4 linked regions of the Drosophila melanogaster genome follow. The protein of the gene in region 2 interacts with the protein of the main gene of each other region in a pairwise test. Each region holds a gene or a part of one and is shown on either strand. Other genes may lie near its edges. The genes, in order: PIG-C, CG3598, Pex3 and ninaD.

Region 1 (7,234 bases), on a different chromosome or scaffold from region 2:
CGTGACATCGGGTGGATCGTATGTGCGCTTACTGCGCCGTTCGAAGCACTTCTCATATGGCAGATGGAAGTGGTACTTAATGTTGCACAGGGCCAGCAGCTCCGGCTGGTTGAAGATCATGAATCCCTCGACCAGGAGGAAATTGACCTTCTTGTCCCTCAGCTGGGCGGCAATCTGCGCATTGATGCTCATAATGTGCTGCTGCTGCTGCTGGATTTGATGGTGCTGGTGGTGGTGCTGCTGGTGATGGGGGTGATGTCTCGGGTGCTGCTGTGGCGGATATTGATAGACCCCGCCATTGGCCTGTTTGTAGTAGTTCGCATTGTACTGGTACTGCTGCTGGAACTGCTGGGCGTAGTGCTCGAAGTTGGCATACGTCACAAGGTGCTCCTGTGGCTCGGGAGCCACATGGCGCCCCTTGATTATGTGCGCTATGTCGTTCAGCATCTTGGCCATGTCCAGCGAGGTGATGAGCTCGAAGTTGATGGCGTTGAGCGCCTCATTTCGCTGATGTCGCTTGTCCTCCACGGGCAGAAAGTAGTCATCCTGCGAGATCAGACGCACCTCGCCAATGGTGTACGGCGAGTTCCACAGCGGCGCTCCTCTCAGACCCTTGAAGTAGTCGTGCAGGCTGTGGGCTAGCGTAGTTTTGCCACCACAGGTGACTCCCGAGATACCAATGACCAGCCACTGCGGCATCTTGTCCACGACTGACTATCGCTCTTCCTTGTTTTTCAGTGGAATCGTACGTTCGCGTTCGCACCGAGCAAGATAACCCCCCGGATAACCCCCTTAATCACGTTTCACTCTCAGGCTCCAGATGTGGTAAAAGGAGAACGCGGCGATGCCGCCGAGGAAGATCACCCCGAACACGGTGGGCACAATGAAAGCGTACTTCAGCGGTGGAAAGAACAGCCGAATGGGATTGCCTGTAAAAGTTTGTAAAGTATACTCATGTTCACAAGTGTTTCATTTGATAACAGGCCAGGAAAGAAAATACGTAAGTATATTGTTTTTATGATTACTCTTAATAGCAACAAATTAAAATTGTCACGGAACGGCAAAACTACGATCATGAAATATTTACGTATAAAGTGAAGAGCCAATATCCAGGCGGAAAAACTACCGAAAATAATTAGCTAAGTACACACCCAGATTTGGAACCACATAATACAGTGGTACCACTGGTTAAGCACGTTTTCGTTTTTATCGCTGATTGTACATGCCTAGACTCTACAATAGCTAACTAGTTTGACTGTGCACATATCGGGCGAATACTGTACTCCTATCATCACTAGTCGTCGGTGACCTTGACCCGAGCTTAGAGCATCGTACAGCCGCATTCCAGGTAACCCGTGTTAGGGTGGTCACCTCTGTAAAACACACGGGTTCATCCTCGTACACTGCCAACTATATATAATTGAACATCGTGACCAATTTACGCCGCGGCGTCACTTTAATTACTATACAAAAGCGCGAGATTATTCAATAAAACTTATGTATTAGCGGGTGAATAACGGAAGCCGTGGAAAACTCACCTTCATCGATGAGCATAAACGGGAGGACGGCCACCCAAAAGAAGTAATAGAAGAACACGGCGATTGCAGATATCAAAATGATTTTCCCGAGTTGCGCATTCGAAGCCATAAATAGCTATTCTCGGAAATTCTGGGGTTTCTCTGGCGAGAGAACACGCGACCGGCGATTTGTTTGTAAAACTGCTCATGGGGCGTTCTCCCCGGACGGACTGCTTCACTGTCCACTGATCGTTTACCCGCCGCACGAATCCCTAATGTTTTTTCGTAGCTGCCGATTTACTTTCGTGGCGTAATTGTAAACAAAACAAACAAGTGCGTCAAAAAATTTCCGAATTCAAGGTAGTGGTGGTTCAACCACTCGAACAAGTATCGATAGCTCGAGTAACTGTTTTGCGCAACACCAGCGGATGTTCTTATCGATGTAGGCGAGTCACTTCTGCTTGGGGATAATTTTCAGAATAAGATTTGTATATTATTAGCTTGCTGTAAAACCCCTTGTTTAGATAATGAACAGTTTATTAATATTTCAAATTAAACTATCATCATCGATATTTCAAGTGAAACATGCATCACTATGACAGTGTGACCAGCACTTACTTTCAATACTTTTCAGTGGATAAAACAATATCGATATGTCGATAGTAACTGATACTATCGAACGCTGATAACCCAGCACTAATAGAATTGTAAACAAACAATTTTTAAATTTAAGAATGGTAAAAAATGGGCAATCGAAACGGCAGCCATGGGTGAAGAACCTGTACTCCAACCGGGAATATCCGGACAACTACACGGATGCCAGCTTTCTGAAGGATCTGCGCACGAATCTACATTGTAGAATATACACGTTCGGCGAAGCAATTGCCGGTATTACAGTGCTTAATAATCAGATCTCCTGCATCACCGGCTTCCTAATACTCTACCAACTTATGCTCAGCGACAGCGTGTCGCCCACCACGATCCTGGTACCCAGTTGCGGGATCACAGGCATTGGATACCTGTGCTACCGAGGAAGGAGTCTCAGCTGGGCCCTGCTGGGCGAGGATTCCAAAACCCTGGTCACAGTGGTCCTCTTCGGCTACTTATTCTCACCGATGCTGCACACCCTAACGCAGGCCATCAGCACGGACACCATATACACAATGACCTTCTTTGTCCTTCTGGGCAACCTGATATTTGGACACTATGGATTGGATGTAGCCATGGTCTCTAAGGTAGGCAATATTTACGGCTATTGGTGTTGATTGTATATTGATCTTGACTCCACCTCAGAATCCTATATAATACAAATACTTCTTGTTCCATGTTAAGCGCAGGCCGTCTCGTTGAATGCCGCCATATTTGGAGCAATTTGCTTAGCCTCCCGCCTGCCGACTTCGTATCACGCCTTCGTGCTCCTTGTCGAGGCTGCCGTCTTTTTCGTCCTTTATCCCATAATGACGGAAGCGAATTGGCATGCTGGATTCATGTTGCCTATATTTGCAATATGCTGTATGGCGCTGTACTGTATATCGCGCCCGGTGCTCTATCTCTACGCCTCCACCACCATTTTCATCAACTTTGTCTGCCCGTTCATATTCGTGTGGCAGCAGCAGTACAAGTTCAACATTCACGGGCCCTGGGACGAGGCCATCGTGGAGGAGAACACCGAGGAGAACCTGGATGGGAACTTATAGCGCCAGCTGCGCTTCTCAGAACAGTTGCCGCCACGACTGGGTAGCGGCGACGTCGAGGAGCACTTCACTGATCGCTAAACCATTGCACGCTTATTTTTATAACTTTGTAAACTCATTCCAAGCCATTGATGTTAATCTTTTGTATCATGTTATATCTGTTAGTTTGTAAGTAGCGTTTTAATAAATTATACTTTTTGTGTTTAAAACCATAGCACTTTTAAATTTGTGTAATTTTTAGGGGACTTTCTTTTGGTCCTATGAATGGCTTTTTAAATAAATTGTTATCAACTTAAGGCAAAGGTTTTTCAATTGAAAGATAATGGAGTTAAATTAACAGGGTGAGTTTTTTGGCTTGGTTGTGTTTTACTCAGACTAAAAATAAATTTAGTTAAAGATTATTTATCGTCAGCGACTAAAACCCGTTTCGTAGATAACAATTAAACATTCGCATGAGCATACATTGAATATATTTGACCCTATCTAACGCAAATAAATTGAAGCAATTGCTTTAATAATAGACTATGGAATATGGATGAGTGACATCTGTATTAAGTGCACGCCCTTGGGTTTCCCAGAAGTTCCTAGTCTAACCAGAGATTTAATTATTTTAGTATTCTGCGTTTTACCTATCTATGTAATGCATGCTGTCCTGCAAGCTACTTCCACAGTTTCAGTAAGCATTCTTGAGAGATAAATAATCCAGATTACATCATATAGTATCGCTGTACGCAGCGCTCTATTTTCTGCAATTATTCATCCTATAAATAGAATAACTTAAGCAGTATTTGAAGCATGTTACAATCTGAATAAAAACAAATTATTTTAAAATATCGTTAAATTTTCAATACTTCACAGACTAAGTCAGAGAATTAAGGTGTTAGCTAGTTTTAATTGAGAATATATTTATATGTACTTATTCATATATTTTGTAATGAATAAGAATAGAAGAAAACCTTTTCGAGTACGTCATCAGTTAATATTAACATTTTTAAGGAACAATCCTTATCCGTCCTTTGTACGTACATTTAAATACCTTAGTATCACATAGTTAGTATCACAGTTGAACCAGTACGAAATAATCATTTGCGTTGCAATAATATATTTAATATTTATTTATAGTTATCAACAAACTATAACATTTAGTAGTTTTCCGGCAATTTAGAGCAACGCGCCTTGAAGGATGGCCTAGCATCCCTCGCACCAGCACTTCAGACTGGGACTGCAGTGGCCACTGGATCGTCCTTCCTCCTTGCACACCCGACGACAGGTCTCGTTGTCCCAGACGGCGCAGGGTCCTCCGTATCTTCCAGAGAGACAGTCGGCATCGGCTTCCTTGGCGCCCAGGATGAAGATGGTCATCACAGCCAGGAAGAGGTACAGGAACTTGATCTGCATGTTGTCGGTTTTGAATCAGAGTGCTGCTGTCGGAACAATTCGAACTTGATTTATGAGTCCAAACCCCCAGCAACCGCTTTATATAGGGATCGGGATCTCTCTGCCAGCTTCGTCGTATTTCTGGAATTGATTGGCAGATAATTGGAGATAATTATTGAATTGTATTTCATGGAAGGGCATACTTTAGGGCTGATAAGACAACGAAAACTGACTTCAAAAAGTATTCTCTTTCGAGATAATGATCATTACGGTAAGTGTCTAAGAAAAGTCGCATGAAATTTCGTTTTCTTTTTAAAAAGTTTCACTGCCATCTTCTCAGTTAGCAGTTGAGTAAGAATGCGTAGTTTTTCTAATGGAAAATTAAAAATGGCTTATTAATAATCTGCCGACATTGATTTTATGCAATGTGCCATTTATCACGAGACTTCTAGGAAACTAATTAAACCAGTTTCATTAATTAAATTTATTCATAAATTGTAAAACTGTCGAGTTTGTTAGGAAAACCCAGAACCGGATTCAAACACCAAACTTGCACTTTTCGATGTAACACGGTTGATAATTTGTTGGAAATATTAACATGACAAGATTATCTTTATTTCCCATAAAGTGATATGGGTGCTGGTAAATGAAGATTTGTGTTCATAAATGAAAATGGCCTTTCCAACTCTTGTTAAGACTGAAATAGTCTATGCTTTTTTTTTCTTAAATGCTTATTATGAGTTGAATTATATATTCCACTTCTTTCTAAATGAATTTTAGCTTTCTATTGAAGTTAACTCTGATTATTTATCATTTAATTATTTCTTCCATTCCATTATAAATCTCATTTTCGAAGTAAATTTATGATTTTAAAAGGATTCGTTCTTTAAGTAGAAATAAAACTGTATTATTTGCTGTGAAGTATATTCTTTATTTTTCTTTTCAAAACAATAAAAAACATATGACACACATATGTGTCAAACATATTGGACGATGAGGATCCTCAGCATTGTTCGCACCAGCACTTCAGACTGGCACTGCAGTGTCCACTGACACGTCCTTCCTCCCTGCAGAGGCGACGGCACTGCTCTCCATCCCAGGCCCAGCAAGGACCACTGAATCTTCCAGATGGGCAATCCACGGCCGAAGCCGAGTTGGCCACCATTAGGACAATGGTCACCACAGCGAGGAGAGCAAACAATCCTTTAATTTGAGCCATTATTAGAATGTTCTTCTGGTTAAAATCTTTACTTTTGAGTTTCTTGAGTCCGACTGCACTCTTATATAGGTACAGAATTTGTATATTAACCGATTAGCATAAAGGTGAAAATGCAAATAACTGCAATATAACTTTCGAAAGGCATACTTTTGGGCCTTTTACGCGACAAAACGCGCATCGCTATTTTGGGATGATAGAATTGCTATACCTTCTTGATGTTGATGCACCTTTTTGTTTAATATACTTACCACATACATATTAAATCAAATCAAGAGATAACTCCTGAAAGGCAATGCTTACGTGCCTTTTACTGTGCGGTGTACAGTATATTTATTATTGGCTCAGAATAAACAAAAAAACAGCATGCACTTTTGAACTGCAGTGGATCTAGCATCCTTCGCACCAGCACTTCATTGCGCCACTGCAGTGTCCACTGACATGTCCCTCCTCAATGCAGAGACGGCGGCACTTTTCTCCACTCCAGGCCCAGCAAGGACCTCCGAAAGTTCCAGATAGGCAATCACGTGCCAAAACAGTGTTGGCCTCCATTAGGACAATGGTCATTACAGCAAGGATAGCAAACAGGAATATCATCTGCACCATGACAACTGATGTTTTCAACGAGTCGGGAATTTTACTTGAGTTCTTAAAGACTTTTGGCATCGACCACTCGTGGGGACGCTTATATAGAGATACAGATTTTAAGATTTTTTATTTGATCGTAGCAATCGATAAGCTTCTCGGAAATTCAAGCTAACAATAACCGATATAATCCTAGTTTTCCAGAAACACTTGATTTATGTGTGCCATGTGTCAACTTCATTGATTTAAAAATGCATCGTTATCATAATAAGTTATTTACCTAGAATTGCTATCTTTTCGATTTAATGATGTATGTAAACATTCACTTCTCCTAACACATTGCCATACAGGAAATTAAAAGACAACAGTGCGTATGAGTGATAAGCGTAAGAGGCCTTTATATTTATATATTATTTGTTTAGAATGAAATATTCAATATACACATTTCAAATGGATATAGTATGGATTCAGCATCCTTCGCACCAGCACTTCAGGCTGGGACTGCAGTGGCCACTGATATGTCCCTCCTCCTTGCAAATACGTCGGCACATCTCGTTGTCCCAGACGGCGCAGGGACCCTTGTATTTGCCGGAAAGGCAATCGGCATCAGCCATATTGGCGGCCAGGACAACAATTGTCATCACAGCCAGGAAGACGAAAAGGAATTTGATCTGCACCATTGCAACTGATGTTCCGAACGAGTCTGGTACTTTACTTGAGTTCTCGAAGACGTTTGGTATCGACAGCTTGTGGGGACGCTTATATAGGACTACACCACCTCCATGCATTTCCAATAATCTTTTTTAGCACGTTTCAAAATCTTTTGTGATGCATTTGCTCAGTGG
Region 2 (7,096 bases):
AACGACAGAGTCGCAGATCTTACGAGACTAAGGCTTGGTTCTTAGATAAATGTAGCATCTTTGGTATCCTAAGCTGCAGTTTTTCCAATAGCACAGAATGTCCATTTAGACCAATGTGACCCAATACAAATTTCTTGCATCTAATCTAAGTTGGTGTATAAAATCATGGGGATATTTAGAATCTTAGTTATCTCATATGATGACCATGGTTTCATCCATTGTTTTGTCCAATTGTTTGTCATAAAGTCTTTCCATAAATCAAGACTGATCTATAGGTATAGATTACATACAGAATTCCATTTCTTACTGGTTTAGATCTTAATGCTGCAATGATCTAACATTGTAGTTTACCCTTCGCTATTTGTTTTCGTAATAATGAAAAAAAAAAATTTGCTTTTTTTTTGCATACAAGTTCAGTTTATTTCGGGGGTTCTGGGATCGGTTGGGGATCTGGGATCAACTCCTTAGTTGCGACGTCCGCCACGACGACGACGGCGCATGAGGCGCACGAGCCGGCGGCGCTGCTGCTGGCGGTGTCTGCGCTGGCGTTGCTGCTGCTGGCGGCGACGACGGTTCATGTTGTTCCTCCTCTGGCGCTGGCGCTGGGCCTTGGAACGGTTCCTGTTGCGGCGCTGGCGCTGTGAGACGCGCTTACGGCTCTGTTGGCGCTGGCGGCGCAAGCGTTGCTGGCTTCGCTTCTCGGCGGCCCTCTGGCGGCGAAGCAGGGACCTGATCCGCTGGTTGTGCTCACGCTGGAGGCGCTGGATTCGGCGACGGTTGCGCTGTTCCTGCTGGAACTGGCGCCACTGGAGTTCCGAGGGGCGGACCAACGAGCCGGACTCTGAGGACTGCTGCACGGCATTGCTATTGCCACCGGCGGAAGGAGCGGCCACAAAGTAGCTCTCCTCATCGTCGTCATCATCTTCGTCCTCCAGGCTGTCATCACCTTCGTCTTCTTCATCTTCAAACGCCCTGGGCATCTCCTCATCATCTTCCTCAACATCGTCTTGAATTGCGGGGAAGGCACGACCGGTGGTGGTGTCGGAGGTTGTGGGCGTCGTGGTGCTCGTCGAGGTGCCAGTGGACGTTGTTGGTGCAGTCGGCGTGGTCGTCTCCGTAGTGGAGGTGGGCGTGGTGGTGGTAGTGGGGGCAACCGTGGTCGTCGTGGTGGTGCCCTTCAGAGATGTCAGCTTGTTGGCAATCGACGAGGTGAAGCGGGCCTCCATCTGAGCGTCGGAGGCGCGTCCACCCAGGCGGTACACATTGCGGCGTTCGGCTGAGATAAAATATTTTAAAATTATACGAAATATTTAAGGAACATATAAAGAAAGTAGTTGTGACTTGACTGACGACTTTCTGTTAATATTTGAGGACTCACCCAAGGTAGTGGATGGGGCTAAGAGGGCGCAAAGGGCCACAGCCAGACTCAGTTGAAGCAGGCAATGCATTCTGCAGATGGATTCTCCTTATCGGGATAATCGGCTTCCTTGACTGTGGATCGAGGGTTCCTAACTCACTTGTTGTCTTTGAGTTTTCACTCACAACTGACTGACAACTGATGGACTGACCCGGGATTTTATACCCACTTGGAGCTCATACAGCTGATCGATGGCTATCATCCGCCCCGCATCCCCATTTCCTTTCAGTTCCCACTTCTTGGCCAGCTCTATTAGCAAAAGTTCGCCCGGGGTCAAAGTGAACCGGGTCGCGGGTCAGAGGCGTACGAATTTTATGCTAATTTCCCATCTCTTTTGCCAAAACCATTCTTCTATCCATCGCCGAGTAGCCGATGATTGATTGACGTCAAGCCGAGATTGACCCACGGAATCTGGCTTACACAGATGTTCTGGGATGTCAGTTCTCTGCTTGCTTCAGCTCACTCAGTGCTCGGCATTTCCACACCAAAGAATGGAGTACTCAACTGAAGTCTCCAAATTCGTTTCGAAAAAATCAAAACTTAATGAAATCTCAAAATTTATAATTTACAAAGGGTTCGCGATTTATTGCATAGTTCGGAGGCAAATCTTTTCTTGACAACGATTCCAAAATATGTGCTTATCTATTTTTGTATGTTTGCTCTCCCAAAAACAATGACAAAATATAATCAGAATGCGACATCAAATTATTTCAATAAATATATATTTTAATTTTCCATATAACATTTGTATTGTACATACTGTTATTGTGTAATTATTTCGTGACTTTTTAAAACTTTCATTTGATTAATATATATATTTGGATAAGACCAAAAGTATCTTTGGTTCCAATATACGACAATCAAATGAATTTTATCTCTAAACGGTTATTTTTCGGTAGTACCTATTTTGTTGGCCAAACGATTAGCAAAAATAGTTTACTACGAAACTTTTACAGTTCTATAGAGATGTTCTCAAATGAGTTTCTCTACCATTGTTTGTATATATGTGTGTACCATCTGATTTTCGGATCCTTTATCATACAAAATTTGCAGTTATTAATTCATATATCATACTTTTGATAGCCTATGGGCATTAAGTGACTTATAACTAAGGTTGTGTCGAAGTTAAAGGATAAACTGGAATAAAGCTGAACCATGATACAAATAAACTCCATGATAAATGCAAATTTTTCTATCAATGGAGCTAAGCAGTGATCTATTTTGAGGCAAAGCAATCTTATGTATCTTATACACTGCTAGGAAATGGTACACCATATATGATAAATAAATAATAAAGTTATACAAGTAGTATACGATGTTTTACGGCAAAACCTTTAAAATAAGTTTCAACTTAATGATTCAAAACCATAGTCTTTGCATGTTGGTTAATTTCACATCATAATTTCACCACCCATAAAAAATACGAAAAAAAATATTTATAATTTTCATATCACATTTTATTTGTCGCATCGTCATCAAGTGTCTCAAATTTCTTGTCCTGATCGTTAGGGGATCTTAACTATAATACTATATAGAAATGGGGCTAGGACGACCTTCGTTTCGTGTCTCAACCCTGGAATACGACCTGTCCGCGGCGCCTCTGGTTGCCACGCCTACGGTTGCCGCCTTGGGGGCGAATGACGCGTACATTGCGCCTGCGGTTGCCACCCACTCGGCGACGCCTTTGGGCGGGGCGGCGGCGTCGGATATTGTTGTTGTTGATGCCGCGGCGGCGAATGTTCCTGCGTCCGTTGTTCTTGCGGCGACGAACTACCACGCGGTTGGCGCGCTCTTCCTCGATTTCATCAACGGATGAGGCGGATCGCTCCATAAGAGCCACCACCGCGCCATCGGGAATGGCGTCTAGGGCGGCACGAGGCACTAGGAGAGCCGCCTTGCCGGTCTTCTCGTCCAGAACACTCTGACCCTCGATCTCGATAATGCCATCGGGCACCATAATGGCACCAGCCTGATCCCGGTTAACCATCATCTGCTTCTTGGGCAGCTCATCCTGAACGTGATCCTGCTCCTGATCCTGATCATCGTCCTGTTCGTCATCAGCGTGGTTCTGCCTGTAAGCCAGACCGCTGCGGGCAAAGTTCAGGCCCAGCTGATGCTCCAGTTCCTCGTCATCCTCCGTCTCGTCATCGTGCTGGTCCTCATCATGTAGATCATCATCTTCCTCCTCGACAATTTCGAAGCCCTGGACGACGGCGCCGGCGTTGGCCCGACCCTTGGGAATTGACAGGAAGAGGTAGGGATGCTGCTGCGCCCTTTGACCCTGCACCTGATTGCGCCCCTGAACGTGCTGAAGGCGTGGCTCGGCCAAGGCCACGGCCACAAACAGGCACAAGCCCACCAACAAGATAGCACCCAGCTTGGACATCTTGTTTTTTTTTTTTTTTTTTGAAGATTTCTCGACGTAAAGTGCACAGAAATTAAAGATTTACTGCCGACCGGATCCTAATTGTAAGCAAGGCCCAAACAGAACTGTACGATCTGTGGCGGCGGCATTAGGTTTTTATGCGAAAAAGTTCTGGCCAAAAATCCAGAATCCATAATCTAGAACCCATAGAAACCGAGAAGAGAGAGCCCACTCAGGCCACAAGAACATTGGTCATAATTGCGGTCGATGTCGGCATAATTTCAAGTGGCGAAATTTTGTGGAAGAAATGTAGAAAATGGTGAAAAATAGAATTAGAAACGAATGTCAGTGACCCGCCGGTGGGACAAAAGAAAGAGCGCTGAATAAATCAGCAGCCGCCGAATCAAAAAGTCGAAGATCACCAAAAACACCAAAGGCCCAAAAAAAAAAAAAAGCGCCGCGGTCATGCTAATGACAAAACAATCAGAGACACGCACAAATCTCGGCATCCCAAGAGACCGAGAAACCCGAGAAGTCAAGGGCCGATCCGAACCTATGATGGACCTGCTCTCGGAGTCAGCGACGCATGCGAAGTGGTCGTATCCCATCCCCGGCCACCGGTCATATACCCAATGACCAATGTGAATATCGATGAAAGGGGTGTATGGTATAGGGGGCAAATGTGTATTCCAGCATCGCTGATTGATCGAGCCACGTTGGGATGGAATTATGCCTTTGTCCCGTGATTAATATGCCAGCCAAGAGGCTTCTTATGCGTGGAAATGGCCAATTGTACAGGTGAAAGACTGAAGGTTGGCCAATATTTCACATGCGAGCCCTCTGTAATTTTACTGTTTTCTTTAGTCGTGCAATAAATCTACAATTTTTGACACGGAATTTATTATTTCTTAATTAAACAATGTTGAAACTTGTTTAAAATCTTAGGCATACTGCAATATGACCAAATAGCAAGCATAGATATTAAAGTGTTTTTGTTTTCCAAGGGATTTCTCAGTTGAAAGTCAGAAAGTATGCTAATGTTTCTTTCGAAATTGATTAACAAACTTCACTTGATCTTCCAAATATTTGCTGTCATGCTGAATAGAATTCCTATAAATGTAATTTTTGTGTGATTTACTTTTTTATATGGTAGGGCTTAGAAAATATAAACATTTTGCAATTGCCTTCAGCACTTCAATTTAATTATTCACAATGCTTGGTCATAAAATTTAATTGTGAAGGTGATCAATTTTCAATCCGATGGCTTTGAACCAGCTGTTGGGTAGCAAATGGACAATGTCTCTACAGAGGCAGAGGAACTCGTAGCTAACCACTGAAATGGTGGCGGCCAGCGTGGAGATCCTGAGCCTTTTAATTTTCCAACTACTCCACTCCCGTCGTGCGAATCCCAAATTGAGGGCGAACCACTGACTGCACGAGAGGAGCACAAAGCCACACAAGCCCATCAATCGGTGGATGACGTGCAGAGCCAGGTGGGTGAAGCACACCAGGGCGAAACCACTGGCCACGGCCCCAGCGATAAGCAGGAATCCCAAAAGGCCACACAATCCATGTTTGGAATTAAAGTGCGGCTCATGTATCTTGCTCTTGAAGATACTCTTCGCGAATATCCCCACCAGTCCCAGCCAAAGTCCCACCATTCCCAATACCATGTGCAGAAGGTTGAGCCGGTTTTCGGAGATGAAGTCTCCTAACCACCAGGAGTGGCATACCAACAGAGATTCACCCACGCATAGAAACAGTCCCAAAATGGCGTATAGGGCATGCTGGCCGCTGCTGTGGTCATCCAAACCCGAGGTCTTTTTGACCATCACCACGGTTATTACGATCAGCAGGATGTGGGCCAAAAGCTCCAGAATGATCCTGTAGAGGTTCACCTCGAAAACGGCTACCAAAAGTGGCCATGCGAACTCATAGAAAACCAATTTTGCAGTGGTTGCGTTCTCCCCTTGACTCATTTCCAGATTTGAGTTTTTTTTTTTTTACCTCACAGCTTTTAGATATAAAAGTGATATTGCAGTCATGGCCATTCTGACTAATTTAAACTAATTATTATTTGCAAATAGTTTGGATAATAATATGAGTGTTCAAATGCAATATTTGCCTCGGTCCTTTAACCATTTTTTATAGCTGCCCACTGGAAACTGGAATATATTTACCAAAGTCAATTCTATATTCTTAAATTTCTATTCATTTCGCTTTTTATTAATTTTCAACAGGTTGAAATTCATCGGCAAAAATTTAAAAAGATCAAAGAAGTATTTTTAGAAAATAGAATAGTTTATTCCCTCCAGCAATTTAGGAACTGTGCCTTTAATATATACCGATATTATCTCATTTCATAAATATTCATAGTGAAATATAATTTCCAAAATGTTAGATCATTTTGTAATGCCTAAAAAAGACTTTTAACTTTCCAAGTTCGAAGAGTACAGAGTTTAGTAACTGTTTTTTTTTTTTTAATCTAGATCTGGAAATTGGTTTCAAAGTTTGTGGGAACGCATAAATTAATTTTTGTTTTTGTGGTCTTCAATTTTTAACTCTTACTAACTGTTGGGCCAAATTGGGTCATCCAAAAATTAGCATATATGTATGTTGTATATAAATTCGCTAAACGGTCTTAAATATATTTCATAAATCCGCTAATTTGAAATCGATTTTCTCCCCCCAAAAAAATGAAATCCACAAGCACTTGGGTCAATTTTATGCAAACTTATTTTATTCAAGACATTCAAGAAGTCACAGTAAAATCCGCTTGGCAACAGGCTGCGGAAACTGCTGCGAAAAATTTCTAAAATAAAAGAAACGCAAACTTAATTTCCATAAGAATGTGCCGCAGGAGAAGTTCAACGGGGTCAGGCCTCAAAGATTCATATTCAAACGAGGCAACGGCACAAAGAAAGCTGCTGTCCAGTTTTGGTTTTTCAGTTTTTGTCCAACTCCGGCAGCTGGCTAATAAATTGGCCTAAGTCCGAATTATGGGCTGGGCCCAATTGAGTTGAAAGTTCATTGCCCGTTCTTTGGCTCTTCTCAGGCTTTAATTATATGGCCAAAACCGATTCGGCAGGTGCTGACCTTTGCCTGGGGCGGGGGGGAATTTATGACCAAATATCTGCACACACGCCTAAATTGAAGAATACAAATCCAAAATACGAATCTTTCTTCGGGCTTTTCTGCCTGGCAGCATCCAGCTTCTTTAGCCAGCTTTTTGGCCACTTGCCTGAGCGTTAACCCCGGCCTATTGTCGTTGGAAACAATTAACGATCGCCTGCCTGAATAATGCTGGAATAATG
Region 3 (8,421 bases), on a different chromosome or scaffold from region 2:
CATTATCCATAGCAATAGTACTAGTAGAGTATTATACGAGTTTTCTTATTCACGTTTCACTTTACCCGGTTGATTATACCGCAGTTTTGGGTTCTTTGAAAATCTCCAAACAGTTTACTATCCGCATTCGAAGTTCAAACCGATTCAATTTGCTATGTGCTTATGCATAAACGGTTCGCTGTAAACTAAACCATTTTCCCCGGCTTTTCCACTATTCGATATTTCACTCTATGCTTCTTATCAGTTGAGTTCATGGGAAATGCAAATACTGCGAATTAGTAAATATAGTAATGTGTTGATTTTTTCTGGTACCTCCCGCTAATTGAATAATATTTTATTTGATCACAGATAATAATAATATTTAAAATATATTTATTGCTCAATAAAATTGACTAATAATAATATTAAAACTGCTCTAGAGTATACACCATTTCAATTTCATAATTTCATTCCATGCAATCTAAGGCTCCTAACTAACCAATTTACCTGAATTCTAAAAAACGTCCTTTGTATGCCAAGTAATTGCCTTCCACGGAAAACCCATGACGCACTTTTCTTTAGCTTGAGTCGTGTCCTGCTTTCGCTTCCTTAATTTATGTGTTTATATTTAGTTAGGTGCTGTGGCCCCTTGTCACATGGCACTTGATCTACGCCCTTAGTATGTCAATATGCCTATATATACTGTGCAATATAGGACCCCAAGCACCCTAAAGGGGAGGAATGTGGTAAAAAGGTGATGGGTGCAGGGGTTGCCTGACTTGCATGCATTGTTTTCCTCGAATTTCCCACACGGACTTTGGCTGGGGAAAATGTCATTTCTTTGTTATCTTCACGCTGACGCACTTGACTTTCTTGGCTACAAGTTAATACTCTTTGTTGAAGGACATGTTATGATTTGCTGTACTATGCTTTGATATACCCAATATTTGTTTGAATCCGAAATATATATACATACATATATATAAATTGGTTATTTCTTTAAAATTTTTCCAATCTTATTAATGCTTTCTGCATTTGTTCAACATTTTTCGACGAATAGCGTATTTTCTGATTTTTCAAGATGGATAGACATAAGTGATTGGATTAAGAAAGCCAATTAAATTTGTCAAGAAATAAAAAATAAGAAAAATTGTAATTCGTTTTCGAACCTTTTTTAATTTTATTAGATGTGCATATATACTTTTAACCTTTATTAAAACCTATGCCAGTTGGAAAACTTTTATTTGATCCTTAAGATTTTGAAAAAGCTTTTTGATCCTTTGATTTCATTTAATTAAATTTTTTAGATTTAAAGCCTATACCAAATTCGATACTGTCATGACTTTTTTAAGGGTACTTTGTAGTGCCTTACCATTATTTCTTGAGCACTCGTTTCGAGGAGCTGCCTTTGAGTAGTATTTGATTGTTTCTTCGCAATTAGTTAGTTTGCTCACTTGTGGCCCTGCTAATAATAAAGTGTTGATATTTTTAGACCTTATAAGAGTGGTATTCCCGTTACTGCCGTTACTGCCTTTCCCCCACACCACCGCCTTTGCAGCCCCCTCCCACACCACTGTACGCACGCACTGTCTGTCCCGTTACCAATATACCGCTGTGTCTGTCTTTTTCGCTCACATGTGCTCATGTGGCCTTTTGATTTTCATGTTCAGTTTTCTCTTTGTCTTAATCAATATATTTTGTGGTCGGCTAGTAAAAAGTTGATGGGCTAAGTGGGCTTTTAGCCCCATCGACTGGTTAATAAACATTTTGCAAGTGCACTTACACAATTGAGCCGCCGTTGTTGTTGTTTGTTTGTTTGACGGTGGGCTTTCCTCCTTTAGCTGGCTTTTCCAATTTGTGTACTTTTTGCAGTATTTCTCATATTTGCACACTCGGTTTTAACTTGGCTTCGAATCAGTTATTCAATGCATTTCTTTCATTTTTGTATATTTAATTATTTTTTTTACACCAACACATACGCAAAGTCTCGCAGGGATGTATAAAAGTAACTGTTGTCCTTTGCCTTTTCACGTAACTTTTGCAACTGCGCCCAAAATGGAAATTTTGTACCAGACAGCTGGGCACCCGAAGGAGTAAGAGAGACGGATGTGAAGAGAGAGTCCTGCGAGAGCGAACAAGTCGCAGAGGGGCGAGCGTGATGTAAATGTATCTAATTACTTTCACCTCCTTAAGCATAAACTTGGTTCAATTTATGAAATCTTTTAAGTTACTTTCTGCTTGATAGTTATTCATAATTGTTATATTATAATGAATCTTCGCACATGCGGCATTTCTGCGCAAGTGCTTGAAGAGAGTGAACAAGGGAGAGAGCGGCAAGAACAAGAGAAATGGCAAACAAACAAAAGCCACAGACACAGCTGTCTTATCACAGGGCGGTTTTCTGCCACCCCCTTTTGACTGATAGCAAAGACAACCGTTACTTGTGGGTTGTGTCTTCGATAATTCAATTCTTATATTTTTATACATATTAAGCATTTATAACAAGAGAGAATGCTATAGTCGAGTTCCCCGATTATCAGATAACCGTTGCTCCGTTACTAAATTAATATATTATGTACATTTAAAACCGCAAACTGTTAGAAACTTGGAGGAAAAAGTATATAAGAATCTCGTATATCTCCGACATAATTATTGAATTTATTTCTTATTAATTCAATACAAGTATGCACCTATGTACGCATGTATAATTTATCATTCTATAAATCAATATCTGTTTTAATTAGCTGTAAGAATAAAAAGAATAAGTTCCTTCAAAAACTTTAATATGCAAAATAATAGTCTTTAAATACGGGGAATGCATAGTTTATTAGGTTGCCATTTGTTTACACTTCCTTTAAGATTAAGACCCAAGCTTTCTAGCATGGTATAAATAAATAATCTGTCACTTATCATTCTATTAATCAATTACACTTTAAATTACATTTTCATATAGTTTGGATACTAAACTACCCTCAGGTCCATCCTATATGATTCTCTCATATGTTGCATTTCCTAACTTTCCATTTAGATTAAAAGGCCTTCACGTTACTCGATTTGTGTCCCTGCCCTGAAAGGATTCCCCGTGGACGAAGCTAAACCTAATACGGGTTGGGTTCAAGCAGACATACAAACAATGCTTCTGAGAATACAGATCTTATTAAAAATATACAAGTATATAAACTATAATTTTCCAATTGTCTTAGCCTAGCCTATGCACGGATGCATAATCCAAGTTTTGTTGATCCTCTAAGCGGAGCTAAAGCTTTCGTAGACGTTGGCCCCCAGCGTCTTTGTCTTCTCGGCGACCACGTAGAAGGTTAGCAGTTGGGTGGGCAGATTGTGGGGTCGCGAAGTGGTATCGAAGCCTCTCGAGGTGAGACCACTGATGATAGGAATGAGCTTTGCCAACGCCAACAGCACTCGGTTGATGTTCAGCAAGTTATTGTTCTCCAGACCGTTTTGGCTCTTCGAGGTGCTGGCGCCTAAGCTTCCTGCCTGGTTAAACTTGACGCTCTGTTCTTGCTGCGTTTGGACTTTAGCTTGTGGCAGATGCTGCAAAGTTTCGCCCATGCTTTCGGCGATGGCATCGCAGGCCAGCACAAAACCACGGCTTACATTGTGCGAGCACACGCCAACGGCATCCTCGCTCTCCAACAGATCCAGCGTCTCGTTGACCATCTTTTGCAGCAGCGGCGAATGACTGGGATTCTGGCTGGGCAGCAGATACTTGCTCATTCGCGAGTTGGGATCCCGACGAGTGTCCGCATTGATGGCCATTTGCAGTGACCAAAACAGTTGCTCCAGGTCGCTAAGGGAAAGCTGTTCGGAGAGCGGTATGGTCTTGGTGACTGCGATGACCTGGGTGCGAATGTAACGGGCTAAGTCCCGGATGCCCGAATCCGTGATAAAGTGTCGGATGAGGGAGAGATACTGCTGCTTTAGCTCGTCGGTGACTTGTTTTTGTTCCGTCATGATGTCCCGATAGATGTAGCCACCGAGAAGATTTAGCTGGACCCTCAACGCAATAACCAGCATGGAGGAGGCGTAGACATAGGTTGCCAGTCTTGTGAATGCCACAATTTTCATGTCCTCCCAAAGTTCCAACTTGTTCTTGGGATTCTGGCGCAGCTGCTCGAGCAGCTCGTCCGTGCTGCACTCCCTCAGAACCGCTTGGCACATCTCCTCGCCCATGCCTAGGATCACCTGGTTACACGTCTTCTCCGTCGACTCAAAGTGGGTCGTGCGCCGCGTTCTCTCGAAGAATTCCCTGGCCTGTTTCTCCTGGAACTCCACGAATCGCCGTTGTGCATAACGTGCCGCAAAGATGGTACCGCCCACCAGAACGCCGGTCACTATGAACTTTCGCCGGTGGCGTGACAAGAAGTCCTGCAGGCGCGACAGCATGTTAACGATTGGAAAAGGCCTCTTCTGCCGGATGGACAACTAGAATCCGCTTCCTGTGTGAAATAGGCCAACTGCTGTTCAGATATCCCACTTTTTCCCGCTCCACCGGCGACCTGTTCGAGGTTAATAAATAGTTAATGTGCAAAGTTCACCTGTGTGCGTAGGGTGGTGCGCTGCCGGCGTCGCTGCCAACAGAGGAGCGTCCTCCACTCATCCGCAGCGATTAGATTACCAGGTAGTGCTCACCTATATACCCCTGCTCGGAAACTCGGATCTGGTGCGCCGCCTTATCGGGTCGATTGCTGGCCTTTGGATCGGATCTAGCTCTGGAATGTATGGAATGGATTTATCCTTTGTTGTTGTCGCTAAATGTGTTATTTCTCTGTTTGGTGCCGCATACTGCGTCGTCTGTTTCCGTTCAAGAAAAATCCCAAAAGTGCGAGGTTCGGGAATACCGAAAAATACCATTTCGTTTAGTATATTTGGTGTTACTGTTTAAATTTTTATTGAAAATGGGGATGCTTTTTAGTTATTTATTTTTTCGTTATTTCGAAGTGGGTTCAAAAAAAAATAGAAAATATAAAATAATGTTAATTCACCTATAAATGACGAAAAATAAAAAACTTCGATATGCTCCAATTTCCACCGTTCCGCCATCGTCGCAAACATTTGAAACGCATGATTCAAAGGGTGAAGAAGAAGATAGAAATCATATGGTATTTAAGATAGTTCTGTTGTTGGTGGGGGGTTTAGTTTAGTTGGGGTGTTTGTTATGGCGTCGTCAGATCGAAAGCTCATTGTAGTCTCCGGATTTGGTCCATTTCTCGGTCACGAAGCGGTCAACGCCAGCTGGGAAGCTGTGAAACTGCTGCCGGAAATCCTAACTCACGATGGCATAGAATATGATCTGGAAAAGCGGTTGGTTTCGGTGGAATACGGGGCTGTGGACGAGGCGGTGGCGGAGATTTGGAAACGCCAGCCATATGTAAGCATCGCAATTGAACCATAAATAGATAGAGGCCTTATGATATCATCTTTCTCCCAAAAAAATAAAAAACAAAAAAAAAACAGCTTGTTATCCATGTCGGTGTTTCGGGCGTTGCCAAGTGTGTATACATCGAGAAGCTGGCGTACAATCACAAGTTCCGCCGAGCTGATAATTGTGATAAAAAACTGGCCAACGGCACTTGCGAACTACCCAACAATGGACATGCAAATGTCTTGAAGACCGAATTAGATGTGGATAAGATTGTGGCGGTTGTAAATGAGAATTGCGCCGATTGTGTGGGACCCACACAACAGCCGACACATAATGATAATCTCAAATCCCTGAGCGCCACAAAGGCATCCAAAAATGTGGGTGACTTTCTCTGCGGCTATATCTATCTGAAATCGCTCGATATGGACAGAAAACGAAGCCTGTTTGTCCATGTACCTCCTGTAGATAGGCCATTTAGTAGTGTTAAGACTTCGGAAATACTTTTTAGCATAGTCGAACAATGCATTCAACAGGTGGTCGCTTTTGACTCCTGAATTCCGCAAAATATTCTTCCAATATCTGTCTTTTTAAGAATTATTTACATGTGTGCTGTTAAGTTGTTTAAGAAATGAGTTTTATTCTTTTTAAGATACAATATTTTATATTTACTTTTTATTACAATGAAACAGAGAAGCAATACAACTGCATTAATAATTACACAGTCTTTTTTGCGTTTACACAACACCAGTCTTTATTTTAAAAAGGGTAAATGACATAAAGAGAATGACGTAAGTTATTTAAAATAAAATTTAATAAAAAAAATGAATTAAAAAGAAGAATTATAAGGCCTTTACAAATTGCCTTATGTTAAATACAAGTTAACTTATATACAATACAATACGATACTATTTATATCACAATATTTTAAAATTATGGTATTCGAAAAAACCGTAATATTTAAAAAAAAAATAGTACATTACTGAATTAGTTAAATATAAAAATAAAACTTCAAATATATAAACGAGATCCTAAACTAAAAAAATTTACCTTCGACGATTGCCAACCTTTGGGCACCCAAGCGCCACCTACAGTTCAATGCTCATTCATTGACAAATATCGATATTAGTAAAATTTATCGGAAACTTGTAGAGAAATACCAAAAATCCCTCACCTAATTCAGCTTTATATGTATATATCTCTGCGTTTCACTGTCACTTGAATTCATTTGAATTTCTACTTGCAACCGGGCAAGTTCAGCGCAGTTCGAATCCCAGTTTTGGTTGGCGAGTGTGCTGCACCCACATAGGGCAATAGATTCAATAAATATCAAACGACGACGAGTGCCCGCAATGAAATTCCTGATCTGTGCACTTTTCTTGGCGGCGTCCTACGTGGCCGCTTCCGCCGAGGCGGAGGTCAAAGTTGAGGAGGGTGTTCTGGTGGCGACGGTGGACAACTTCAAGCAGCTGATTGCCGACAACGAGTTCGTGCTGGTCGAGTTCTGTAAGTACATGCTTAGATCGAAAATAAGGCACGAAAATCTCAACAAAATGTGGCAAAAATCGAATATCAAAATGCGAAATGCGCCGGCCGCTAGCGCGCTCTCACTCGCACCCGCTGATTCATGCGGCTTAGCGGCTACGTGGTCTTTCAAAGCGTCGGAGAAAATCTGTCTGCGTGGCAGTTGTTGTTGACTTGAAATCTGGACTATCATGTTGCACGGCAAATCCTAGTTGATCAATGGGCCAACTGACAGACTAGTTCCAATCGGCGGCCTGGAAAATTTGTTTAGTTGATTTTCCAGCAAATTTATCGTTTGTTTAACTGTTTTTATCTCTCTCGCGTCATCTTGTGTTTTTTTTGTGACGGGCAGGGAGGAGCGCGCTCTCTCAAACGCAAGTGCCATCTCTTTTCCGCACCTGTGCACGCAAGCGAGAAGGCCTTATAGCCTTATACTGCAGTACTACTTGTTATTGTTGTCGCCATAAACCTGCTATAATTTTGTATTCTTGCAAATACTAAATGCCAAAGGAAACAATAAGTTGTGCGCAGCATATGCTTTGCGTTTTATCGACATTTCTAGTTATTGTTCTAACACTGCGCCCGTGGGGCGTGGCCACAGCATATCACACATCCGCTTCAATAATCTCCGACTGAGAATATCTAATGGAAACAAAAGGCAACAAAAAGTTGTCGGGCAACTCATCTCTTCTCCTCCCACGAATCTAGGTTAGCCTGAGCAAACCAAACCACTTTTTATTCGCCATTTGCTTTCTCTGGTTCGTTCTGTTTGGATTTTTTGGTTCTAATTCTCACTTACAATCTGGTTTCTGTCCCTTTTTCCACGGCGGCGCAACGGCCATACATTGGAAAGTTCATTCAACTCTTTCTCTGCGTCTTTGCGCGTGCCTAACGGTGTTGCGTCGCCAGTGATGCTCGGCACGAGCAACAGATTAGTGTGCATGGTAATTAGCTAGAAAATAGCCAGAACTGGGAAAGAGGTGTAATTATATACTGCTGTAAAATGATTTAAAATGTTCATTTGAAAAGAGATCTGACCTTTAGAAAATTTTTGTTTTATATTATGAGCAAAATTGTCTATTGCATGTGTTAAAAGCCTACAAACGGCCTGCAAAATATTCGTAACGGTTATTTGTATAACATTTTTATATATAATATATACAGCTTAGGAATAGACAGTGAACACGCTGAAAAACTAATTACACAAACCTTAAACTTAATTTGTTATTTGTTCATGTATTTCCAAGCCGTTTCTCAACATTGACGAGTTAGATAAGACAACAGTTTTTAAATACTTTGTAACTGTAAGTTATGTTTTTTTTTTAATAACGAAATCCTTAGGTAAGCCGCCCCACTATTCTTCAATGAAGTTTTATGTTCTTCTAATGACAACTCGAAAAAATCAATCTTGTTATCTAGCAAGAGATAAACGTAAATCAGAGATACTAAAAAGTCCCCCATTCGGCGTTAAACCGCCAGAAATGCTAGCCTGGCATCTTTGGTTGCCAGCAATATGGCGGACTTGTGAGTTTGTTTAT
Region 4 (7,961 bases), on a different chromosome or scaffold from region 2:
TTCTGATGCACCCGAAGGTAATAAAAGGTGTGCCCAAATATTTGAATAGTTATTGAAAGGCAATCAATTATTTACAGCCAAGTCGCAAGGCCCAACTGGAAGCCGAGGGCTCCATTGAGGCCTAAACTGAAAGGGCTACCTCAACCAACGAAAAAAATGGCGTATTTCTACAAGTCAAACCGATTTTTGTAGATCCTAAAAAATGCTGATGTTGCTGAAATGTTCTGAACTGCAGTCGTCGTACTTTTCCTATATAGCAAATCCAATATCCATATATTGTATGTGTGTATGTGTATTATATTTATAACTCAACTAACAATTAAATATGAACAGAGTTTATGTATGTATTTTGGAGTATTCTATTGAATTTAGCACGGTGTATTTGAAAAGGCTCCAGCATTGAAAGTTTGTATGGAATGCGCACTAAATATTTAATAATGTGCTTACGAAGGCATTTCGTAGTATTTGATATCTTGCAATGTCTGCTGATTATGTACATTGAAGTGCAATGGGGAAATCAACAGAAGCCAGTGCAATCTATTCAATTACTAATAGTGGGTCTTGCATTTGTGGCTTAGTAATTCCAATTATTGCTACTCTGAAAAGCCGAGGAGCAGCCTAATTAATACTTGGCCACTATGCTGGAGGAAGTTTACTGAACTGAATTCGAGTAAGGAAAATGGACAATAATTGATATAATATGGTGAGCTTCTTGCTGGACTTTGAAATCGTAAAATTTAAGCGAACACACTTCAAACGCATCCATTTAATTTGTGAATGTTTGCAGTCCCACTTTTAATAAGCACCCAATATTAACGATAACGCCACTCTAATCAAAATTTTCCAATAGTCAGGGTTGAAATACTGATCAATCACGCTGCCAACATTTCGGCAGACCAGGTGGGTAATGAGTTTAAAATGGTTTTGCGTAATGGGATTAATCGAATTTCATTAAGGAAGATTAGATTGCCGTCTTTGGAAGTGATCTTTTATAGTGGCTGACCATAAAAATTGCATTGCAAATACTAATTTAAGCATACATGCTATATAACCGATAAGATGGGCGAGCGTCAAGGCAAAAATAGTTGACCGTATTAATAGTTTAATCAACTAGCTTCAAGTTAATTTATAATGCGAATTAGGAAGCACTCTGGCATGCTATTAAAAACTTAAGAACTGATAAACGAAACTTAATTCCTAAAATAAAAATGTACCTAATTACTTTTATATACTATTATAAATAAAATTGTACCATGTATCGTTAAATTTGATTTAGTTACCAAGTGGTATTTGGTACGTGGCAGCATGAAATAGCTACTACTGCTAGTCTGGCTGATTAGCCAGCACTCTCAATAAACTAAGTGCAGCGTTTTGCATTTATCAGGATTTTTGGTACTCTAAACACACACTTAGATCCCAATCACCCCACAGAATAAGTTGAGCAAACCAAACCGAGCTGATTACCACAGTAGACATGATGATTAGCCGCTGCTTTATTTACTAGTGGATAATCTACTAAGCGACGCATGAATAAAAACTCGAGCGATATTTTTCCACTTTGCAGTCGCTCGAAAGCCTTTGTTTCGTCTCTCAATATGTGCTGCAGCTGCTGTGGGGTGACCCAACAAAAGGCCTGGGTCTTCGGCCTGGGAACCTTTTTCGCGGTCTCCGGACTCCTGGCCATAATATGCTGGCCTGGCTTTATAGACTCAGGGATTATGAAGGTGAGAGGCGGTGTATAAAAATAAAATTAAGGAGGAGTACTAATCGATTTATTAAAAAGGCCTTGCCGTTGACACCCACTTCAAAGACTTTTGAAAAATGGGAGGAGCTGCCCATTCCGGTGTATGTCTACATGTATCTTTGGAACTGGACAAATGCCGCAGATGTGCAGGCTAATGGAGTAAAACCTATTTTCGCGCAACTTGGACCCTATGTTTATCGAGAGGAGAGGAAGAAGATGGATCTTGAGTGGCACGACAATGGCACAGTTACCTTTAACCCCAGAAGAACTTGGTTCTGGGAAGAGGAGCTCTCTGGCGGCAAGCAAACGGATTTAATTACCGCCCCACATTTACCTTCATTGGTAGGAAATAAGCAGTTATTAAAAAACAATTTGGTCTAAAAGAAGTTTTCCTTTTTCACTTTTTGCAGGCTGCTTCAAACCAAATGCGGAATAGCAACGTCTTCCTGAAATTCATGTTCAACGAGGCCCTAAATGCGAATGGTGGACATCTCTTTGTGACCCACACGGCAGCTGAATGGCTGTTCGAAAGTTTCTACGACGAATTTTTGCATTACGCCATGACCCTGAATAATCCATTGGTCCCAAAAATCGAGTCGGATCACTTTGCCTGGTTCCTCAACCGTAACGGATCGAAGGACTTCGAGGGTCCCTTCACTGTACACACCGGAGTGGGTGACATCAAGGAGATGGGTGAAATTAAGTATTGGAAGGGCCAGAATCACACGGGATGGTACGATGGAGAATGTGGACGTCTCAATGGCAGCACCACGGATCTTTTTGTGCCCGATGAGCCCAAGGAGAAGGCTTTGACCATCTTCATTCCGGATACTTGTCGGATCATAAATCTTGAGTTCACCGGACAGAGCGAAACAATTCAGGGCATCACGGGTTGGAAGTACGAGATAACGCCGAATACCTTCGACAATGGACAGATCAATGGTAACGCGAAGTGCTGGTGTCCTTTGGAGCGCCAGCCAGATAATTGTCCTGCAACCGGAGCCACTGACCTAGGACCGTGTGCCGATGGAGTTCCCATGTACCTTTCTGCGGATCATTTTATGTACGCGGACGAAAGTTATGGCAGCACGATAAGCGGCTACAATCCGAATTACGATCAAAATAACTTTTATATCATCATGGAGCGCAAGATGGGAGTGCCGTTGAAGGTCAATGCCAATGTGATGATTACCTTGTACATAGAGCCAGACAGCGTTATAGAGTAATTATTTACAATAATTGTTGCCTACCATATATATGACTTGATAAACACATTTTTTCCTAGCATACTGAAGGGCCTGCCCAGCTTCTATGCACCACTTTTTACCACTGCTAGTCGAGCGGAAATCGACGAAGCCCTCGCCTCAGAACTTAGGGTATGTTTTAGAGCTTGTTGAACTACGTTGATTTCTATTTTAAATAATGCATTTTGTCTTTTAGTTGGCACTGAATCTACCGGCTATAGGGAGATATACTGGAGTGGGATTCCTGTGCCTGGGCTGCATTCTTATAGCAGTTGGCATCTTACTTACCATTAAGAGGAAGTGGTATGGCCAGGCCGAGTTGGACAAACTGGCTCTCAAGGATAACGAGGAAACTCCATATGAACCGGAAGTTCCGGCCAACGTGGTCGAACGAAACTTTTAATTTAGTATTAACATTTTTTTTAATGAGCAGCACACGGATGTGATTCAAAAAACATATATGTGATAAATAACTCTAAACATTTTTTATTCTAGCTTTAAAATATAAAACTTCTAAACAACTGAAAAAATTAATAAAATTTAAAAAACTCATATAACTATTGTCTTCATTTTACAATAATTAAATTAGTTAAAGCTTATATTTATCTATGTGGTTTTTTAAATGATTGAGTGAATGAATTTATAGAAGCTTGTACACAAATTTAAATAGGCTCTTTAAATAAAGGTTTTATTTTAGAACATTTTTTAATTGTTTTTAAAATTAAAATTCAAACATCATCTGTGTGTCTTTTTTAGTTTATAATTAATTCATATACACAAAAGAAAAAGAAAATTAAATAAAATCATTAAAATTAAGATTTAAAAAACTCAACAAATTTGTATAATAGTTATGTGATTCCTATACCTATTTAAACGATTTCGTATCTCAGTTGTATTTTCTTTTTTACAGTGCATCTAATGATTTATCTAATGAGTGAAACGAAATATAATCACAAAACTTCGTATAACATTTAACTCAGGCCGTAAAACAAGCCACTTGAAAAAGCTTTCGGAGATTAGCCTATCAGAAGCGTTCCAAGTGGAGAATTCAAAACAAATATAAAAATAAAAAAATCACCTGTTAATTTGCTCTTGAAATCTAATCTTGCATTCCCATTATTGAACATCAATGTATCCCAAAAGTGGGCTCGCTTATAAATATCCCCGTTTAAATTGCTTGACGTACCAGTATCGAAATCGATCGGAGGCGATGCGTTGTGGTTGCTGCAGTGTGCGCCAGCAAAAGATCTGGGTCTTCTCCATGGGAGGCCTGATCCTGGCAATTGGGATTTTTCTGGCCTCAGCCTGGCCAGCCGTATCTCGGCAATGGATTCGAAGTCTTTTGCCCCTGGCTCCCAACTCTTTTATCTACAATCGCTGGGTGACTACGCCCACGCCGGTATATAGCACAGTTTTCCTCTTCAACTGGACTAATCCGGGGGATTTGAACACCGAGGGCGTTAAGCCGCACTTTGAGCAGCTGGGGCCTTACACTTTCAGTGACTTTAAGGTCAAGGAAGATTTGGAATGGAATCAGCCCCAGGTGACCTACTTCGGCAAACGTACCTGGCATTTTCTACCGGAAAAGTCAAATGGATCGCTTGATGATGTAGTTATAGCCCCACACTTTCCTACTTTGGTAAGTCTGATTAAAGGTTGAGTGCTATGCTATTTGACGGCAAAACTTACATTAAGAATACCGAATATCTCTGTCCGAATATCTGTCGCCACATCCAGTAATCCCCTCTAATCCCGCTATACGCTTTAGACAGCTGCTTTGTACTCGCGCCGATTGCGCCGCATCCTGCGCAAGGTCATGAACTTTACTCTCAATCGCGAAGGCGGCGCCACCCATATGACCCACACAGCTGGCCAGTGGCTCTTTGATGGCTATTATGACCATCTGCTTGACTTCGTGGAGCAGCTGCATTCGCCCCTGCTCCCGGTTTACGACAACACCTTTGGCTGGTTCTACGAGAGGAATAACTCAAAGACGGCCGAGGGAAACTTTACACTGCACACTGGCCGTGGGGATCTCAGCCAGTTGGGAGATCTGCTCCTGTGGAATGGAGAGAACACCACCGGCTTTTATCCCGGCGAATGCGGCAAGGTCAATGGCAGCACGGGGGAACTCTGGTCGCCGTACAGGACGTGGGATCAGCCCACCACCATATTCCTACCAGATGCAGCGCGGTACTTGAACTTGTTTCCAAAGGAAAATCTCACCATAGACGGCATTGATGTCTGGCGATACGAGTCCACCAATCTCACCATCGATAATGGCCAGCTGTCGCCGGACACTGAGTGCTTTTGCCTCAAGAATCGCGAGTGCCCGCGCAACGGAGTCCTGGATTACGGTCCTCCCGCCTTCAATGGCCCGTTCTACATGTCGCATCCGCACTTCTTCCTCACAGATCAAATGTACAGGGAAAACACCACTGGCCTGCAGCCCGAGGAATCCGAGCACGGCATGTATGTGATAATGGAGCCCACTCTCGGCATTCCATTGAGCTTGAGGGGGCAGCTTATGATTAGCACGAAAGTGGTGCGCGACGAGGCCATTGAGTGAGTTTTTTATTTGACGCTGCCCAGTCTCCAAAACCATTTGTTCAAGAAAAGTACGATTAACACAGACTAATTTACACAGGAACGTAAAATCGTCCTTCTTGTACCTGTGAAATTGTCACTATTAACATAGATAGTATCAGCTTAAAGACAAAGAAAATATTAATATCAATGTAGGGTCAAGATCTAAACCAAAAACTTGTTTTTTCTCCTTATCCAGCTTGTTCAAGAACGTGGCCTATGATCATTATGCACCCCTATTTACAATGAGATTGCATGCGGAATTAGACGAAGGGCTCACAAAACTATTGAAGGTAGGATGGAAAGCATGGAAAATATCTACATATGAATAACAAAATGTAATACCTTATTTAATAGCTTGCCCTAAATGCTGCGATTATTGGAATGTATACAGGAATTGGCTTAGTTCTTTTGGGAATGTCAATAGTCGTAACTGGAATATTCATCACAAAAAAACACAAATGGCACAGCGAACAAAGGCCCGACAAACATTTGCAATGCACTCAAAACTGATAAGACTGTTTAGGCTAACAAAGCCATAATCTCGCTAATCAATGGGAATATTTGGGCATTGTTTAAGGCCATAATCAGTCAGGGCTCTTTAAGGCCCGGCCATAAAAAATGCAAATTACGTGCTTGGCTGGATTATCCAATTTCCCTCAGGTGTTGCCCAGCTGCAGGCATCTAGAATTACACTAAATTATGGCCTTTCAAATATGCTAAAATTTATTAATATGTTAATAATTGTTTTTTGCTGCTCGTTCATGCTATGCTAAGAAGGCGGGAAGGGAGAAATCCTTGAGCACGTAAGCTGCATACTTTATGGCGTACGAACTCTTTCACCAGGCAGAGCCGGCAAATACCGAACTGGAAATTTGAAAAATGCCAAAAGAATATTATAAGCGACTAATTTATATGCACCAAGCACGCAAACTTACGTTTTGCACACACATTGTTCGTGGCCCACGAAAAGGGCGAAGGAACAAGTTAAACAATGTATGAAAATATGAAAATTATATGACTGCCAGTATGTGTCGGCCATAACTTTAGCAAAATCTCTGTCGGGCCAAGAAAACTGGGGTAATAAAGTAAGTACTTTAATAAGAATGTTTTATTTGTAATATAAAAACCAATATAAATAATTGCAAAGTGTTTATTTCTTAAATCTTATCATATAAATCAAATTACTTAAGATCATTCCAGTGAATTATCCTTACAATTTTTCAAATTATTTTGCTATTGGGCCCAAGTGAGAATTTCCTTTTTAACGAAACCCATGCTATTTTATTCATAGTAATAAAACATTCTTGAATTCTTGATCATTTTAATTTGAAAATGTGTTGACAAATTGACAGAGGTTAAATGAAAGGATTGCATAGCATTTTTACTAAAATTTAGAGCACATGTGGCTTATCATTTTTCTGCTCGGCTTCAACTTGTACCATTTTATTAGATTATCTGTTTTTAGTTTGATTTACATCTGAGCCTGTGAAATTTATTGTTTATTTACGCAAATGTGAAACTTCCTCCCAATAAAGCTACATTCTTCGTAAGACACATTTTCTTTTGACACTAAACGCTTTGCAGTAGCCATTTTGTGGTAGTAATTCGATTTAAATTCAGTAAAATTCTCTAGCCACTGTTATTTTAAAGATTAAACATGGACTTATTCCAGTTAGGTTGTTCTATGCTTGGTCAAGAAACCACAGCAATGTGCAATTGTGCGTGGAATTTTTAATGAAATATTTAAGCAACACCCAAAAGCGACAGAGGACCCAAAATAACACAAAAAGAGGCAGTCTGTCAGCTGTAGAGCTGAAAATTGTGAACAGAAACAAGAACATTTAATTTTGGAAATTGCTTGTCAAGGTGCGAAGACTAGCTGACATTTTAATACCTTTTTAATGTGTATGATACCCAGTTATAAATATTCTTTCGGAATTATATTCTTGAGGGACGTCATGTTCTAATTGTTAGCAGCAATAATCAAATAAATATTTTACTTTGAAGATAAATTAACACAAAATGCACTTTTATGTATAATATACAAACATTTTATAAAATAGTTGTGCAGCGACTTCGGTATCAAGAAATCAAAACACCTGACTCACCTGTGTTTACCATAACCTGCGGTTTTTTCTCTAGGCATAACAAGCAACAGATCGCGTCAGTGACCGACTTCATTATTTTGGCTAAATCCGAAAAACCAAAAAAAAAGAGCTTGAATGGCATGAAGGGCATGTGATGGGATGGGATGTTGCCATTGTGGCCTGCCGTCCGTTTATGTCGCGAAAACTTCGGTGTCCTAATCGGCTGCCTGACTTGCATACTAATTTGTTTGCTCCTCCCGTTCCACCCACTTTGGGTGCCCCTCTCGTCCGGCGACC

What was found.
Region 1: the proteins of CG3598 (region 2) and PIG-C interact in a two-hybrid assay, tested with the Drosophila melanogaster proteins (one large-scale study listed by BioGRID).
Region 3: the proteins of CG3598 (region 2) and Pex3 interact in a two-hybrid assay, tested with the Drosophila melanogaster proteins (one large-scale study listed by BioGRID).
Region 4: the proteins of CG3598 (region 2) and ninaD interact in a two-hybrid assay, tested with the Drosophila melanogaster proteins (one large-scale study listed by BioGRID).

What each region holds. Positions count from the first base shown.
Region 1 is NT_037436.4:3,314,210-3,321,443, reverse strand, and holds PIG-C (phosphatidylinositol glycan anchor biosynthesis class C), read left to right. Parts: upstream 1-2,211; 5' UTR 2,212-2,251; coding exon 2,252-2,752; intron 2,753-2,854; coding exon 2,855-3,214; coding exon of another isoform or gene 3,215-3,292; 3' UTR 3,293-3,416; downstream 3,417-7,234. Other genes in the region: CG12016 (uncharacterized protein), read right to left, coding at 1-699; Dpm2 (Dolichyl-phosphate mannosyltransferase subunit 2), read right to left, coding at 793-929, 1,539-1,647; Drsl5 (Drosomycin-like 5), read right to left, coding at 4,400-4,609; Drsl4 (Drosomycin-like 4), read right to left, coding at 5,592-5,807; Drsl3 (Drosomycin-like 3), read right to left, coding at 6,195-6,410; Drsl2 (Drosomycin-like 2), read right to left, coding at 6,857-7,069.
Region 2 is NC_004354.4:2,933,835-2,940,930, reverse strand, and holds CG3598 (uncharacterized protein), read right to left. Parts: upstream 3,905-7,096; 5' UTR 3,804-3,904; coding exon 2,985-3,803; 3' UTR 2,858-2,984; downstream 1-2,857. Other genes in the region: CG14420 (uncharacterized protein), read right to left, coding at 465-1,276, 1,379-1,448; CG3592 (uncharacterized protein), read right to left, coding at 5,012-5,761.
Region 3 is NT_037436.4:15,140,744-15,149,164, reverse strand, and holds Pex3 (peroxin 3), read right to left. Parts: upstream 4,811-8,421; 5' UTR 4,616-4,810; intron 4,497-4,615; 5' UTR 4,384-4,496; coding exon 3,226-4,383; 3' UTR 2,786-3,225; downstream 1-2,785. Other genes in the region: CG32147 (uncharacterized protein), read left to right, coding at 5,156-5,368, 5,455-5,916; Pdi (protein disulfide isomerase), read left to right, coding at 6,712-6,865.
Region 4 is NT_033779.5:18,080,070-18,088,030, forward strand, and holds ninaD (neither inactivation nor afterpotential D), read left to right. Parts: upstream 1-1,558; 5' UTR 1,559-1,595; coding exon 1,596-1,724; intron 1,725-1,783; coding exon 1,784-2,086; intron 2,087-2,154; coding exon 2,155-2,966; coding exon of another isoform or gene 2,967-2,970; exon of another isoform or gene 2,971-3,027; intron 3,028-3,029; coding exon 3,030-3,120; intron 3,121-3,184; coding exon 3,185-3,391; 3' UTR 3,392-3,539; downstream 3,540-7,961. Other genes in the region: Arr1 (arrestin 1), read left to right, coding at 1-17, 78-125; CG31741 (uncharacterized protein), read left to right, coding at 4,199-4,627, 4,757-5,553, 5,774-5,867, 5,932-6,087.